Oryctolagus cuniculus: one gene and its partners. The protein of the gene in region 3 interacts with the protein of the main gene of each other region in a pairwise test. Links are inferred from orthologs where the notes say so. Each region holds a gene or a part of one and is shown on either strand. Other genes may lie near its edges.

Region 1 (2,760 bases), on a different chromosome or scaffold from region 3:
TGCCACAACGTCAACCCCTACCTGTAGTTTGAGTAATAAAAATATCTGAGGCCTCCAAAAGTTTGGTCAGTTTACTCACCTCATTGATTTTTTTTTAAAGATTTCTTTATTTATTTGAAAGGCAGAGTTACAGAGAGGCAGAGGAAGAGAGAGATAGGTCTTCCTCTGCTGGTTCACTCCCCAAATGGCCACAATGGTTGGAGCTGAGCCGATCCTAAGCCAGGAGCCAGGAGATTCTTCCAGCTCTCCCACATGGGAGCAGGGGCCCAAGGATTTGGGCCATCTTCTCCAGCTTTCCCAGGCCATAGCAGAGAGCTGGATCGGAAGTGGAGCAACTGGGACTCAAACCGGCGTCCATATGGGATGCCTGCCCTGCAGGTGGCAGCTTTACCCACTATGCCACAGTGCTGGCCCCTCACCTCATTGATTTTCAAAACCAATCTGTATAGATACATTGATAATTTCATAATGATTTCTTTAATATTTTAGAACCAAATAAATAATGAAACAAATCTAATATAGATTTAAATCAGAATCAATGCATTTATTGAGTAAAAATTTGTTTTTTCAAACAATAATGAGTAGTTATCCTATAACATAAATTTTATCTCCAATGAAGACTTTAGACTTTATTTTGAGTTAGTACACAAATTACAGATTTTCAGATGAAGTCTGTCAGCCAGGATTTGATGCCAGAGACAGGGTGAGAAACTGATAATCAGAAAATAGGAAGCTAAATAGGAAGACTATAACAATTATTAATAGAGGCATTAAAGACATTGGTCAATGGCGTTAGAAACTTAATAAGATGATCAACAGACGCCGGATCCAGACCAACAGGTTGGCTGGAAACAAGAAGACTGGCAGGTCCTAGAGGCTGAGCAGGATGGGCGGCAGAACCCAGATCCATAACCCAGTGAAGGAAAGCCATGGACTCTATAACCCAGGGGTCTGAAACCACTGGATCCGCAGCCTGAGGAGTGGCAGCTCCTTGGTCCACAGCTCAGGGAATAGGAGCTTCTAGATCCACAGCCCAGGGAGTTGCAGCTGCTGGATCCAAAGCCCTGAGACCCCGTGTAAATTGTCCTGCAGGGATTGCAGAGTGTGGAGGTCCTCCGGCGGTAGCAGGACGTCTGGCAGGGGCTGGACACCACATAGGAAGTCTGGCAGCTGGTGGGCTCACAGCCAGGCTCCTGACAGCCACTGTACAAAGAGGAGCCCGGCTGACATGTGCTGGGACATTGGAGTCCTGCACTGTAGAACGAGTTGTTTGGGTAGGAAGAGCCACAGGAAGACCTTGGGTAGCGCAGGTAGCCCCCAAAGGACTGAGAGAAGGAGTTTCCAGAGCAGCAGTTGTAGGGCATGGTGACTGGAGGTGGGAGAAGGTTCTGAGTTTGGATGTCACTTGTCACTGGGACATTTATATGCTCTCAGCAATGGGTGTGGCCCTTTACTTACAATGTCATCTTTTCCATAGTTAGACTCCCTCATTTGCATATACGTCACTCAGTAAAACTTCTTTGTAATTGCAGCAAACTAACACCCTTCATGTTGTATTTATGGGTGAACTCCTTTTGTTTTTACAGCTCTGTGTCAGTGAAATACACTTATGCTATAAATGCTATGACTGTATGTAATTAGTGTCTACTCCATCACAGCCAGGAAAGCCCCTGTTTTTTCCCAGGCTATGACATGTAAATCTGCTCCTGTTTGGGCTGGAGAATTCTTTCTTCCTAGGGTGAGGACTGTAAAGCAGCCATCTCCCTCTTGGTCCTTGACTGAGAGGAAGAAATCTGGTCTTAATAAGGAACCTTTTAAAGACTCCCTCACCATCAAAGCGTTGTTTCAAATCCTCCAATATAATTTCCATCTGTTACTTATCATCAGTGTTTACTATGTTTAGTCTAGATATGCCACATAAAACCAAGGCAAAGGAATTGAGAGATGACCAGGAATGAACAGCATCTTGCACAAACATATAGAACAAATTTACTATTCAGAAAAATGATGTGAAAACAAAAAAGAGAATGATATGGATGTAAGCATAGGGAAAAAATGTAGTAGATGTGATTTAGATGAGATAGGAAACAAGGAGCAATAGCAGAGGGAAAGGCAGGATTTTCCTGAGCCCAAACCCTGGGGATGGATGGTCCAACCTCATTTAAGTCTTCAAAACTGTTTTCTCTGGTTTAATATGGTTTGAGAATGCTCCCCAGGGGTTCTTGCGCTGGAAGCTCCATCTCCAGTGCAGCAGTTGGGAGGTGGAGGAAACGTTGATAAGGGTGTGCTAGTGGAAGATCATTGCGGGTGCTGTCTTTGGAAGTTCTTGTAGGACCCTGATTAGTTCTCATGAAAGTAAAGTGTTATAAAAAGAGCAAGACTGGCTCCTTTCCCGTCTCTGATTCTCTGCCCCTCGTGTGGTCACTCACACACACTCTGCATGATGCCATGAGACAGTTACCAGAATCAAGCGGAAGCTGGTACCATGCTCCTGGGTTTCCAGAACTGTGAGTTAAATAAACCTATTTTCTTCACAAATCAGTTACTTCACACAGTTGGTTATAGCAACAGAAAATTAATGAATATTTTTTTCAAAATGGATCTAATTCTTGGCATTTATTTTGTAAAATGTCCTATGGTTACCCTCCCTATAAACATCTATAAACTCTCACATCAAAATTTTGAAAGATATCTGAAAATTTCCAAGGACATCTCATCTTCCAATTTTTCCTCCATATATATATATATATATATATATTG
Region 2 (4,136 bases), on a different chromosome or scaffold from region 3:
TGTAGGAGCATGGCCCTGTCTCCATCCCCACTCCCTTGGGTGGGGTCCTGGGCCTCAGAGTCCAGGCTCTCAGAGGGGCCTCCTGGGCACACAGGGATGGAGTCACCCTCGGGTGCCTGGAAGGCCCACCTCTCAGGGTTTGGATGCTGGGCTGTAGCCCACCAGCCTTGATGTTCTCAGCTGGTTCCACTGTGCCATCCTAGCCTCCTGCCTGGAGTCATCAAGAGTGGTAAAGGATAACACATGGAGGCTGGATGGACTTCTTGAGTTTGATTTAAAAAAAATGGGACTCTGAGAACCAGGGCGTACTATGACAGGTGTCAGCCAAAGAAATCAGGGAGATGGAGGGAGGTGGGGGGGAAGGGAGAGAGAATGAGCACAGGGTTCAGAGACAGGTGTCAATGGCCTAGGGAGCTGTGGCAGCGGTAGGAATGGAGGTGAGGAAATGAGTATGGCTGAGCGGGACAGGCGAGAGCAGAGAGAGGTGAGTGGCTGTAACTGCTCAGCAGGAGGCGGTGATGAGCAGCAGGGAGGCAGGGCTTCAGGACCCAGGGGAGGGGCCAGGGAGAAGACAGGCACAATGCCTCCTGAAGCTGTCAAGTGCATCCCTGCCCAGCCTGCAGAAGCCTCAGGTGTGGACAAGGTGTTCAGTAGCCAGGGATCCATGCCCAGCTGCCAGGCCCAGCAGCCTGGTCTTCCTGCTAAACTATCTGCCTCTGGTCCTTTCTCCTCACTCTCCCCAGTTCAGGCCTGGTCCCCTTGCCCCTGGATTCTCACTGTCTCTCCTGGCAAGTCTCCTAGCTTCCCTTCCTGCTCCCGCAGGCCATTCTGCACATTGGAATCACCTGAACAGGATGGGCCTTATACAATTCTGATGCCCAGGTGGTACCCCAGGCCAATAACATTCAGAGTTTTGGGGAGGCAGTGGACCAGGCTTAGGTATTTTTAAAGATCCCTGCATGATTGCAAATGCATAGAAATTTGGGAACCACTGATGCCAAAGCCACTTTCCCAAAGCAGCAGTTTCATCCCTCCTGGAATGGGCTCTGTGGCTCTCCGTGGCTGGTGCTTGGAGAACGGGCGTGTCCAGAGAGAGGGGTGTGGCCACTGCTTTCCACACCTTGGAACCTCTGGACTTGCCACTAGAGTCCCTGGATTCCCGCAAGCACCAGAGAGGGCCGTGCACGGAAACTCATGTTTCCTACGCCCCTACCAAGCACCTAATCTCAAGATGGATCTTACATTCTTGCCCTGAGTCCACCAAACCTTTGTTGGTAGAATTGCTGATGCAGCCTTGAAGGCCTTCAGACTTGCTTCCTATTGTTCAGCCTCTCCTAGTCCACTCATCTCACAGTGCTGAGTAAGTCTGTCCTTACCAGGCTCCTCTCACAGGGACAGAAGAAGACTGACTCGGTAGAGTAGGAAGAGGTTATACAGTGCTTAGTGGGGATGACTAATGCCCCCAGTGAGCACCTGGAGGCCCAAAGCACCATGACTTCTCCATGGGAAAGTCGAGGAGGCCAACGGGAGTTCAGATGTGTCTGGGGCACTCAGGTGAATACAGGTCATCAGGCTCAAAACTGGTCCTTGGAAATTCTTACTTTTCCAAGAAACATTGCATATATCAAGAGTTCACAGTAGCAGGGGGAAGAGCGATTTATATTTTTATGTCACCTATCAGGTTACAAAGCACATGCAAAGAGCCCTCAACAAATTCATGGAAAATGCGGATCATGAACAACTTTGCACCCAAATCAACTTATGTCTGAACTCTACTGTCCATGAATTTCACATCAGTCCTCACAGGGCCTCTCCATTTTGCAACACAACACTTGAAATTTAAAATAATGGCTTCTGGGTTCAAATCCTGACTCTGCATCATGCTAGCTGTGTCAACCCAGGTGGCTTCACCTCTCAAAGGCTCTGTTGCTGGGTCCAGTGGGCTCAGGGAGAGGAGGGTTCCCCAGGGTCTCCCATGCAGTGCCTGGCAAGTTGCTTAAGCACTGAGTATTGGCTCTGAGTACTTTGCACCCATGAGAGAGTTGTGGTTCAGAAGAGTGCTGTAAGCATTCACACCTTATGGATTTTCAATTTGGAAGTTAGAGTCTATACTGGTTAGTATACTAGGATATACTTAATTGCTACATGGTTAGTATATGAGGATATACTCAATTGCTACAAAATTCCTGGCTTCCTTTTCCCACAGAGAGAAATGAACCCAGGGGTTACCAGCCCACCCTGTGGGCCCCCAGCTGGCACTGAGTTCCCAGTTTTCACTTACGAGGTGCGGATGCTCTTGAGACGGCCCTTGCGGAAGGTGATGGTGGCATTGCGACAGCAGCGGCTCTCATAGTAGTAGCACTTGAGATTGCTGCTGGTCGTGCAGCAGCATTTGCAGTTGGGATCATTGGCCCAGGAGCAGCAGCACCAGTGGCAGTTGGGGTTATCGGAGCAGGTGCAGTGGCAGAACTGGCAGTTCCGCTCATCCTTGTATGGGCAGGGGAAGCAGGTGCAGTTCCTCTCCGAGGTGAAGATGAACTTGCAGCACAGACAGGAGCATAGCTGAGGACAACATCTTTGCCATGTACAACATGGCGAGCAAACGCACATAGCAGTCTCCATGGCCCCTACATGATTACCACGTCCCCACCGTGGCTCTTGGTGTCTCCTCTACCAGAATCCTGCTGCCAGTTCTCAGTGGAGGTGTCCCTCCTCCCCCAACCCAGTGAGGCCGTCAGCCTGAGAGTTGCAAGAAGTTGGCTGTTAGGAGGCTCTCACCAGTGGTGTCCCTGCCAGGAAGCTCATGGGTTAGCACGTGCATGAGGCCATTTGCTGATGTCACAATCACTGGGTCCTTGCAGTGTCTCACCACGCTGTGGAGCTGGCAGGTGAAGCCTGGAGTGGTTAGCAGGTGAGTTGATGGATACTCCCCTCATGCCTCCGTCGGACCAGCTCCAGGGGAGCTGTCCTTGGTCCCCTTCCTGGTTGTGGGGTAGATTTCAGAAGCTATTTCTTCTTGCTTGGTGTTTGCCCGTAGTTTGGGCAAGCTGATTTCAGGGAATGTCTTCCCAGACTGAGAAGCCTGGCATGACTAATTGGAAAAGTAGATGGACATAATTTTCCTCTCCTGGGTTTTTCCTGCATGATAGAACTCCTTACAGTGTTTACAAATAGCAACAAGGAGGACAGCACGGAAGGAGGTGTCACCATTTGTGGAAAGAACTAAAGGAGCAGAAGACACCGCTTCCTTCAGGAGCTTCTTTTGAAAGTCATTGCTCTTGCCCATCACTGCATAATGACTGGTCTGTTTCATGAGGCTTCGCAGAAACCTCCGAATGTTTTTTGCCAATTCTGCAGCTTCAAGGGGTTTGACCAAGTCTTAGGCTTTACTTCCTTTCCCCCACCCTACTATCAGTCCTCTAGGTCCTGTTAATCAAGAAGTTATAATGCTACATGAGCTTTATACTTTTGTGCTAGCAGTGTGCTCCAGATACCTGGAAACAAGACCCTAATGGGGTGAATTTCGTTTCCACTTGATGCAGCTTGCAAAGGTTAAAAGAGCAAAGTGTTCATGACCACGCCGCATGACGGTATGAAGGCTGCAGTATTACTTTTCCAAAAAGAACTGAAGGCTGAGTTTGGCTGCTCGAGCCGATTGCATAATCCATGATCTCTCCCCATGATGATCGTCTTCATAATAGGAAAGAACGTTTACTGAGTGCTAATGGTGCCAGCCACACACCGATTTTAAGTTTCTAGAAATGAGAGGGCTGGATCATAGGGTATGTGCTTTATCTTTTTTGATAGATGCCACTAAATTGCCTACTCAAATAAATGTGCCAGTTCATACTGACACCAGTAATGGATGAGAGACATCTTTCCCACACATTTGCTCAAACTCAATTTTATCTGCCTTTCTCCCTAGGCTCCAGGCCCAGAGGTCCAAATGCCATTCTTGGGTTCATGGTATATTTTCATTACTGGTCTCTGTGAAGTCCCCTCTTTTTAGAAATTGTTATTGACATTACAATTCACTTACCATTAAATTTACCATGAACAATTGAATAGTTTTCAGTATAATCATAAAACTGTGCAGCTGTCACCAAGACCTAATTCCAAAACATTTTCATCACCCC
Region 3 (3,943 bases):
GTTCACCTGGGGCTCTGCGGGATGCTGAGTTGGTTCTGCACAGCCAGGGCCACGCTGTCACCCTTCTGGAACACCATGTCATAAGGGCCTTCCCCAAACATCATGGCATAGAGCACACAGCCTAGGGACTGAACGTAACTTGGTTAGTCCCTGAAAGATCAAAGGGGATGGCATCTTTTCCCTTTCTTTTGAGGGGAAAGGAGACCACACAAGCCAAACAGAATAGGCCAACCTGAGCCACACAGAGCTCCCAGGGCCCAGAGAAACCCCCAGAGAGCTGGGCACCTCTGCAGCCCTCACTTCATGGGAGGGAGACCACTTCCTTCAGTATCAGTGACAGTTTGCAGGAAGGAAGTTGAGAGAGATGGCAACAAGCTGCGGTTCCCGGGGCCCCTTGCAACAGAAACCAAAGACCTACTTCTCTGCCTGACAGCACCTCCGAGCCACGCCCCTCCCCACGCAGATTCCCGCCCACATGCTCCTCACCCAGACATCAGTCCGCTCGTCAATAACACAGTGACTCTGCACGGAGAAGAGCTCCGGGGCCCGGTAGGAGATGGTGCACCGCTGGGCTGCCCAGTCCTAGAACGGTGGCCTCAGAGCTCAAAAGCAGGGCACAGGCCAGGGTCAAGTGACCGAACTGGGGCACGTAACAGAAGGGGTCAGGGTGCGGAACAGGTGGGCAAAGGAACCCGAGGCTCTTACTTGCAGGGTCAGGGCCTGGCGGGAGCCCTCCACATGGATGCATGCTTGATTCATGGAACCCAAATCCATTAACACTGGCTGTCCCTCATCGCCAAGCAAGATGTTGGTGGGTTTCAGGTCCCTGCAGAGAAATAGAAAGGACATGTAAGCTGGAATCCTGGGGGGGGGGGGGCGGGGGGCTGATCACAGGGAGAAGAGCAGAGCCCAGAGCCCTCCCCTTTCTCTTGGTGAGGTTCTTGCTCCTGGGCCCCCTGAGCACACAGGGCCCTCCCACTGACCTGTGGGCATAGCCCTTGGCATGAATGGCCTCCAGGCCTCTGCAGATGCCCAGCAGCAGCCGCAGGATTTCATCCTCAGTCAGGAAGTTGCCCTTGTCCTTGAGCCTTTCTATCTCAGCCCACAGCGTCCCTCTCTGCAACAAGAGTTTCCCCACAGCTGGAGACGGTGCCGGAGCCTCTGGTCTCTGGGCCTGATCGTGTGCCTACGTCAATGCCCATCTGCCCTCCTCCGATCACCTAGACCTCAAACCCCCCACTCCCACATGGGCTCCTCTAAAGCTCAAGTCTGAAGCGGCCAGGACCCCCGCTGGCCGGCTCGTTTGACTGCTCACACAGCCCCTGGCGGGTGGCTCTGTGGCAACCCTCTCCACGCCAGGAGCATTTCTGACCTTAAAGAAGGGCAGCAGCAGCCAGGCCTCGTGCTTAGCATCTCGCTCCCTCAGGCAGTAAGCGACGAGGCGCAGGATGTTGGGGTGATGGAAGAGGCGATGCATGTCTGCTTCCCGCTGCGCGTCCTCTCGGTCCTGCTGCTCATGACACAGGATTCGCTTCAGGGCGTAGAAGTGTCCATCATGTAACCCCTCCACTAGGTCCACATAGCTGAACCCACTGTGGGCCAAAGGGGTCAGTGAAGGGCCACGGTCATCTCCCACAGGGCTTGGATTCAGAGGACTTTTCTGGGAGACGGCAGTGTCTCTCCCATTCAGTAAAAACCCTCCCAAGATGCGGCTCTAAGAGAAGGCTGAAGGTTGTTACACCTTGAGCTCCCCCAAAGCAGGCACAGGGAGACCGGGGAGGTGGACGTGGGCATAACACAGCGCTGTGCACCTGTATCAGGTGCTTATGAACCATGCACTGTGTGGGGCGGTCTAAACCCATGACCTCATTTACTCCTCACAACGCCATCAGTGAGGCGGGATAAGCATCTCCATTTAGTGGAGGAAGAAATCAATGGCTTATCAAGGACAAGCGGATGTGGCTCTAGGAGGCGGGGCTCCAGAACCCACTCTCTGGACTACCAGGCACCTAGATGCCATCAGGTGACCCAGAGGTTAGGGATAAAACCCTTCTGCCTCTGTCCCGTGCAGAACGCCGGTCCTCCACGACCATAACCCTGGGGATTAGGTGATTTCCAAACACTCACCCCTCCCCCAGTTTCTGGATGAAGAGGTAACGCTTATTGTCAATGATGACCGTTCCCCGAGAGCAGACACAAAGCGCGTGGCCCATAATGTCTCAAACATCCTCCTCAAGGACGGGCTGCAGCTGCCGGGGGACTGGTCCAGGGTGAGTGGGCTCTTCCGGGCGAGGCGCCGCGGGCCCAGTGGCTCATGCTGGAAGGAAAACAAACGGCAGAGTCGCGGGTCCGGCACAATCCTCACGACCCCTGAAGGACCAGCGCGGAGAGCTTAGGCTCAGGTCTCGGAACCTGGATCTCCGTGTAGGGAAAAAGGGTCCTGACAACGCCAGCTCCAAAAAGGCCGCAGTCAGGTGCCTTAAAGCCCCAGGCCACTTCCTCCAACCCCAGTCCACCTTTGGGCGGGCCCTTTCCCACGCCCGTCGGTCCCCAAAGGAGGGCGGGCATAGAGTAGTTCCCGAGGAGGTGCGAGCCTCCGGCCCACCTCTTGCAGAACCCACCCCCAACCTCAGAGCGCGGAGCCCGGGATCGATCAGCTCGGACGTCCCACTGACCTGGCCCGGGAGGGAACTCAGCCAGAAGCCGGAAGCGGCGTCTACGTCATCAGTCCGCGCCGGCGTAACGGCCCGCGGTATCCTAGCAACCGCTGGGCATCCCGACGATGTGGGGGCGCGGAACCGAGAGGCCGGGGGCGGGCTAGGCCTGCAGGTGCACGGGTCGCGGGACCCGGGTGAAGGTTCCCTACCTGGCCTTCAGTAGGGGTCAAGACGCAGGCGTCTGCGCCAAGGGGGGAGCAAAGCCGGGCTCGGCCCGAGGCCCCCAGGACCTCTATCTCCCAATGTCCGAGGTAGGAGGCCTCATACCTCCCGTGCGCTGGGTCCAGAATGCGCCCAACTATGGCCCATCCCTGAGGGCGGCCCCGGGAGGGGCCGGTGACCTTCCAAGCCCTGCTCACGAACCTCACTGCCAGTTTCTAGACAGGGGGTCTTAGTAACCTACCTGCTGTGTGACCTCGACCAATTAGCCTGTTGGATCCTAGTTTTCTGTAGCTGTAAAAATACATGTAATAGTGCCTAATATTTAGTGCATGAACTGCGAGGCTAATTCAAATCCCAGCTAGACTAAACTAGTTGTGGGAGCTCAGGCAGTCTACCTGACATGTCTGTCCTTTAGTTTGTTCATCTGTAAAGTGGGAACGGTAACAGTGTTACATAACCCTCAGTAAGTGTCTCGCAACAGGAATGATAGTTACTACTACTCCGCTCCTCACATCCCAGGCTTGGGACTATGAGGGCAGGAGGGTTGGAAATCCCCAAATTCAGCCTTGGCATCAAGCAGTTGTCACTGACATCTCTTGCCTAAATGGGCAAGGATAAGCTGGAGAGGGCGCACACTTCCAGAGAGGATGGGATGGCCAGGATGGGCTCTCCAGGAGAAGGGTTCAACTTGTGACCTGGTTTCCCCCTGCCATAGCTCTGATCACCATGAAGATTTTCCTATGGTTTCCCTTGGTACTGACCCTGTTTTCCTGCGTGTTCTGACATTCTGTCATGTAGATTTAACCTGCTCTGTGTCAGGCCCTGTGCTTGAAGCTGGGGGTCCCAGATGGACAAAGCACTCCTCACCTTCAGGGAGCTCAGTCTCAGTAGCGCAGTGCTTCTTGTGAGTGTCCCTGGGAATCTTGCTAAAATACAAATTCTGATGCTATAGGTTTGAGGTAGGACCTGAGATTCCGCGTGTCTAACGGGCTCTCTGGTGACGCTGATGGAGCTGGTTCGCGGCTGCGCTTTGAGTAGCCAGATGTAGAGGACTGTTATACATT
Region 4 (4,310 bases), on a different chromosome or scaffold from region 3:
AGTTAAAAAAATCTAGTTACCATTAGCACAGTTCATATGTAATTCACTCTCTTCGATTCTTTCTCCATCCTTGTCAGCTTTCCAATCAGCACAGTTTCACCTTCTCCAGCATAATCTTCCCTCTTCCACAACACTGAGAAACATTACATTTTGATGTCTGAATAGGTACATAGTCGGTAGCTTTATTTTGTAACTAATGTCTTAAATAGCGCTGGTCCTGGGTAGCTGAAGGGATGAAATGTGTTTCTAAAACATGCAACATTGTCTGATATTTCAAGTGTTTAAAAATCACACACATCAGTAATGCAGCCAACTGAATACCAAGTATCACAGCCATTCCCCCAGAATGTCCAACAAGCAGGCCTTGTACTGTGAAGAACAAAGGGTCTGGTCCGAGCCGTGGAAAAGGCACGATTCACTTGCCTTAAGGAAAAGCGCATTTTCTCCTTCAGGCCACGGAGAGCTGCCGAGAGCAGGCCACAGGATCTCCCTGACTCACACTAGCAGGAGCAAGGTTGGGTAATTCTCAAATTAGGGCTCACATACCGTCCTTTAAGCCATCCTAAAAAAGCCTCTTTTATAAAATCTCATGTTAGGAAATCACGTATCTATCAACAGGGAAGAATTGACCATCAAAGCATTCCTAACTGAAGCAAGAAGACAGCCAAAAGTGTTAACAACAGAGCTGTAAAAGTATCTTACATCCTGGAGGGAAAAAGTGTCAAACTTGCTTTCTAAGCGGTGTTTCCTTCCTTCCCATGGTTCTCAGGGCCAGGCAAGTGGAAGCAACACTGTCGTTGGGGGAAGGCTGCTGGGAGAGGGCCAAAGAATCTCTAGAACCATGGTTCTTGAGTGTGGTCCCTGGCAAGCAGCATCAGCAAGAGGACTTGTAAGGAATGCCCATTCTCAGCCCACTCCAGACCTGCCCGGCGCGGAGCCCCCAGCAGCTGGTTTTTAATCAAGCCGGGTGGTTCTGATGCCCACTAAACTCTCAGATGCGCTGCTCCAAGGCATCATTACCTACACCTGGAGAAGGGATTGAGCACCCACGTGAGCCGTGAAAGCCTGCGCTCATAAAGGGCCTCGTCCTCCAGCGCTCAGAACTGTGGGGAACGGCGGCTTTGACCCCTGAGGCTAGAGAGTGGGTTTCCACAGGAAGATCTGGAAACGGTACTCAGGGCTCGGCCTTCTGGAGGTCAAGGGGTGCACTTCCATCGGCGGGGCACCCGTGGATCCTAGAAGTAGAAAACGCCACTCCACACGCCGCAGGAGAGTTTTCGGCCTCTTAGGACAATTGACCGTGGCGTTTGCGCATGGCAGCACCCAGCAGCTTTCCCTCCAATGTTTCTCCAGCTTTCCCCAAAGTCCGCTGGGGAGACTGTGTCCTGGGCCCCCCAAGGGAGGTGCCGGGAGCTTCCCGACCTCACAAGCGGTGTTTGTGATGTCACCACCATCTCAAGGCGTGCTCCTCCTGGCTTTGGTGATGTCATAGAGGACCCGTGATCCCGGGCCCTGGGGCTTCCAGGGGCTGGGGAGGCCGCACCAGGCTAGTGGGACCGGGCGGTGTGCAGGGAGAGGCCCCCCCAGGCTCCGTGCTGCTCCCTCGGCGCGCAAGGCCAGCTCCGGGAAGGGAACGGAGGACAAGACTTTACAAGAGGGCCACTTGGTTTTCTTTCGTGTGAATGTTCAGAATCTCTGCCAAGGCCCTTGAGATTTAGCGTGCTCCCTCCTGGGCTGTTGGGGTCTACAAGCAGCTGCCGCTGGGGGTGCTCTGAGGGGACATCAGGGCCTCAGGATGGCCCCTGTGAAGAGGAAGTGCATCTGCGACCTGTGCTCTTGCGGGTAAGGAGGCTGCGCCCAGCGCAAGGCTGGGGAAGCCTGGCTTTTCCGACTCCGGAGCCAGGCAGGGCGTTTCCCACAAAGCGGGGCTGGGGCCTCAGCCTGCGGCTTAGCTAGGAGCGCAGGTGGACTCACCCACCTGTCGCTGTTGTCAGCTTGCAGCGCCTGCAGCCAGCACTTCATGTGCTGGGCTTGAATTGAAGCAGGTGAATGGAGCTGTTCCCAGGGCTTTCCTTGTGTCAGAGCTGCAGGAAGGTTGAAAGTGGGCCCAGCCCTGGCACAGCTTGTATCTCTTCCTTGCAGCCCAGAGAGTGTCATGGACCGAAAACACAGGCCAGCTTTGCTTCTTTTGTGCTAGGGTGCTTCTTTAAGGACCCAGGTTGGGAAGATAATTTCTTTAAAAAAATTTTAAAGTGACTTTTACTTTATTAACTTATTTGAAGGTTAGAATTACAGAGACAAGGAGAGCCAGAGACCGAGATCTTGCATCTGCTGATTCATTCCCCAAATGACGACAACCACCTGGGCTGAGCCAGGCCAAAGTCAGGAGTTTAACCTGGTTCTCCCACGTGGGCAGCAGGGGCCCAGGCACAGTGTTTGGGATAGAAATGTGTAAGACAGTGCTTCCATCTTTGCACAGATGGGATGGCAGGAAAGCTCATGAAGAGGGTACACAGTGAGACATCTCCTCTTGCCCCCGGCAGGCGCCTGACTTACCTGGATGCCCCTTCTCTGCCTCTATTCCCTTCTGTTCCTGCAAAAATTCTCTCAGACGTGGAGACTGTCCTGGAGTGTGTTCTCCTTTCCTTCTCCCCCTCTTGGTTTCAATCGGGAGTCTCCGGTTTGGACCTCACATCCCAGCCTTTTCTGTTCTTCGATTTCAGTCTCCGTGCTTGTTGATGCGTCTGGCTGCCTCGTGACCCTCCGCTTGGAGCCGTCTCCCACTAGCTGCCCCTCGCATGTGAACCATCATTTAACTGTTTCCAGAGTCTGGTCCTTTCCTCTTCGCGATCTTTCTTAGAATGGTTCTTTGCCTGGCTCTTTTTTGTTAGGTTTGGAAACTGCCCCTAACACCTTGCTAGCTTTACCCACTGTGATTTCTTTGCTTGGAACCACTCTTCCAGCTGGCTTTGGGTCTTCTGATTGGCCCTCCCTGTTCCTTACCATCGCCCTTCCTTTCTCCCAATTGCCTACGTCCCTCTTCCTGCTGCCCGACCTTTAAGGCCCTGTTTCTATTGCAAGGTTCCCATTAGCCCAGCTCTGTAGGGCCCTGTCAAAGAGACCCTGCTCTGTGTTACTTGTTTCTGATTGTGCCTGCCTGCTTCACAGCTCCCATGGACTGTGTACTCTGGGAAAGCAGAAACCATGATTTCCAACTGTGTGTTTTTAATACTGAAACATTTCTCTCCATATAGCTATCAAAATATCTTTTTGAACGAATGTTTTTTGCTTGTTAAGGTTAGTAACATGCCAACAATGGATTAGAGATACAAGACTTGGAGTTGTGCTATCTAGTAGAGTAACCACATGTAGCAATTTCATGTCGATGTCGATGAATTAAAAGGAAATACAATCATAACTTGTTATAATTGTACTAGCTTATTTCAAGTATCAGTAACCAGATGAGTCTGGTCTCCCACGTGGTTGGCAGGGACTCAAGTACTTGAATCATCATTGCTGCTGCTGGGATCTGAATTTCAAGGAGCTGGAGTTGGGAGCCAGAGATGAATATCAAATCCAGGCATTCTGATATGGAATACTTTTTTAAAATTTTTTTATTAATTTGAAAGAGCTACACAAAGGGGGAAAGAGAGGGAGAGACTGATTCTTTCATCCCCAGATGGCCACAATGGCCAGGGCTGGACCAGGTAGGAGCCGGAGCTTTTCCCAAGTGGGTAGCAGGGGCTGGGATCTTGGGCCATCTTCTGCTTTTCCTAGGCCATTAGCAGGGAGCTGGATTAGAAGTGGAGCAGCTGGGACTTGAGCCAATGCCCACATGGGATGGAAGAGTTGGAGGCAGCGGCTTTACCTGCTACACCACAGTGCCTGGGACATGTTTTCTTAACTGACATGCAAAGCACTAGGCCAAATACCTGCCCCCCTCCCCCTTTTTAAAAGATTTTGTGAGAGGTAGTTATAGATAGTGAGAGGGAGAGACAGAGAAAGGCCTTCCTTCTGCTGGTTCACTCCCCAATTGGCCACAAAGGCCAGAGCTGCGCCGATCCAAAGCCAGGAGCCAGGAGCTGCTTCTGGGTCTCCCAAGTGAGTGCAGGGGCCCAAGGACTTGGGACATCCTTCATTGCTTTTTCAGGCCATAGCAGAGAGCTGGATAGGAAGAAGAGCAGCCAGGACTAGAACCAGCGCCCTATGGGATGCCAGCTCCACAGGTGGAGGATTAACCTACTGCGCCACAGCGCCAGCCCCCCTCCCCCTCATTTTTTACAACTGGTGATTTGTGGAGACCCTTGAGA

Evidence for each region. The genes of interacting proteins can lie anywhere in the genome.
Region 1: the proteins of STK16 (region 3) and keratin-associated protein 13-1 interact in a two-hybrid assay, tested with the Homo sapiens proteins (2 studies listed by BioGRID). The two-hybrid records come from large-scale screens. The link is inferred for Oryctolagus cuniculus from reciprocal best matches to the Homo sapiens genes STK16 and KRTAP13-1.
Region 2: the proteins of STK16 (region 3) and TRIM42 interact in binary tests that used the Homo sapiens proteins (3 or more experiments, as listed by UniProt). The two-hybrid records come from large-scale screens. The link is inferred for Oryctolagus cuniculus from reciprocal best matches to the Homo sapiens genes STK16 and TRIM42.
Region 4: the proteins of STK16 (region 3) and SAXO1 interact in binary tests that used the Homo sapiens proteins (3 or more experiments, as listed by UniProt). The two-hybrid records come from large-scale screens. The link is inferred for Oryctolagus cuniculus from reciprocal best matches to the Homo sapiens genes STK16 and SAXO1.

What each region holds. Positions count from the first base shown.
Region 1 is NC_091435.1:14,994,601-14,997,360, forward strand, and holds keratin-associated protein 13-1, read right to left. Parts: upstream 1,394-2,760; 5' UTR 1,365-1,393; coding exon 813-1,364; 3' UTR 512-812; downstream 1-511. UniProt on the Homo sapiens protein: In the hair cortex, hair keratin intermediate filaments are embedded in an interfilamentous matrix, consisting of hair keratin-associated proteins (KRTAP), which are essential for the formation of a rigid and resistant hair shaft through their extensive disulfide bond cross-linking with abundant cysteine residues of hair keratins.
Region 2 is NC_091435.1:141,105,249-141,109,384, forward strand, and holds the start of TRIM42 (tripartite motif-containing protein 42), read right to left. Parts: upstream 2,812-4,136; 5' UTR 2,623-2,811; coding exon 2,282-2,622; intron 1-2,281.
Region 3 is NC_091434.1:20,221,866-20,225,808, forward strand, and holds the start of STK16 (serine/threonine-protein kinase 16), read right to left. Parts: upstream 2,812-3,943; 5' UTR 2,676-2,811; exon of another isoform or gene 2,413-2,675; intron 2,318-2,412; 5' UTR 2,214-2,317; coding exon 2,128-2,213; intron 1,593-2,127; coding exon 1,373-1,592; intron 1,118-1,372; coding exon 984-1,117; intron 827-983; coding exon 706-826; intron 583-705; coding exon 487-582; intron 129-486; coding exon 7-128; intron 1-6. UniProt on the Homo sapiens protein: Membrane-associated protein kinase that phosphorylates on serine and threonine residues. In vitro substrates include DRG1, ENO1 and EIF4EBP1. Also autophosphorylates. May be involved in secretory vesicle trafficking or intracellular signaling.
Region 4 is NC_091432.1:182,004,859-182,009,168, reverse strand, and holds the start of SAXO1 (stabilizer of axonemal microtubules 1), read left to right. Parts: upstream 1-1,499; 5' UTR 1,500-1,795; coding exon 1,796-1,842; intron 1,843-4,310. UniProt on the Homo sapiens protein: May play a role in the regulation of cilium length. Stabilizes microtubules at low temperature.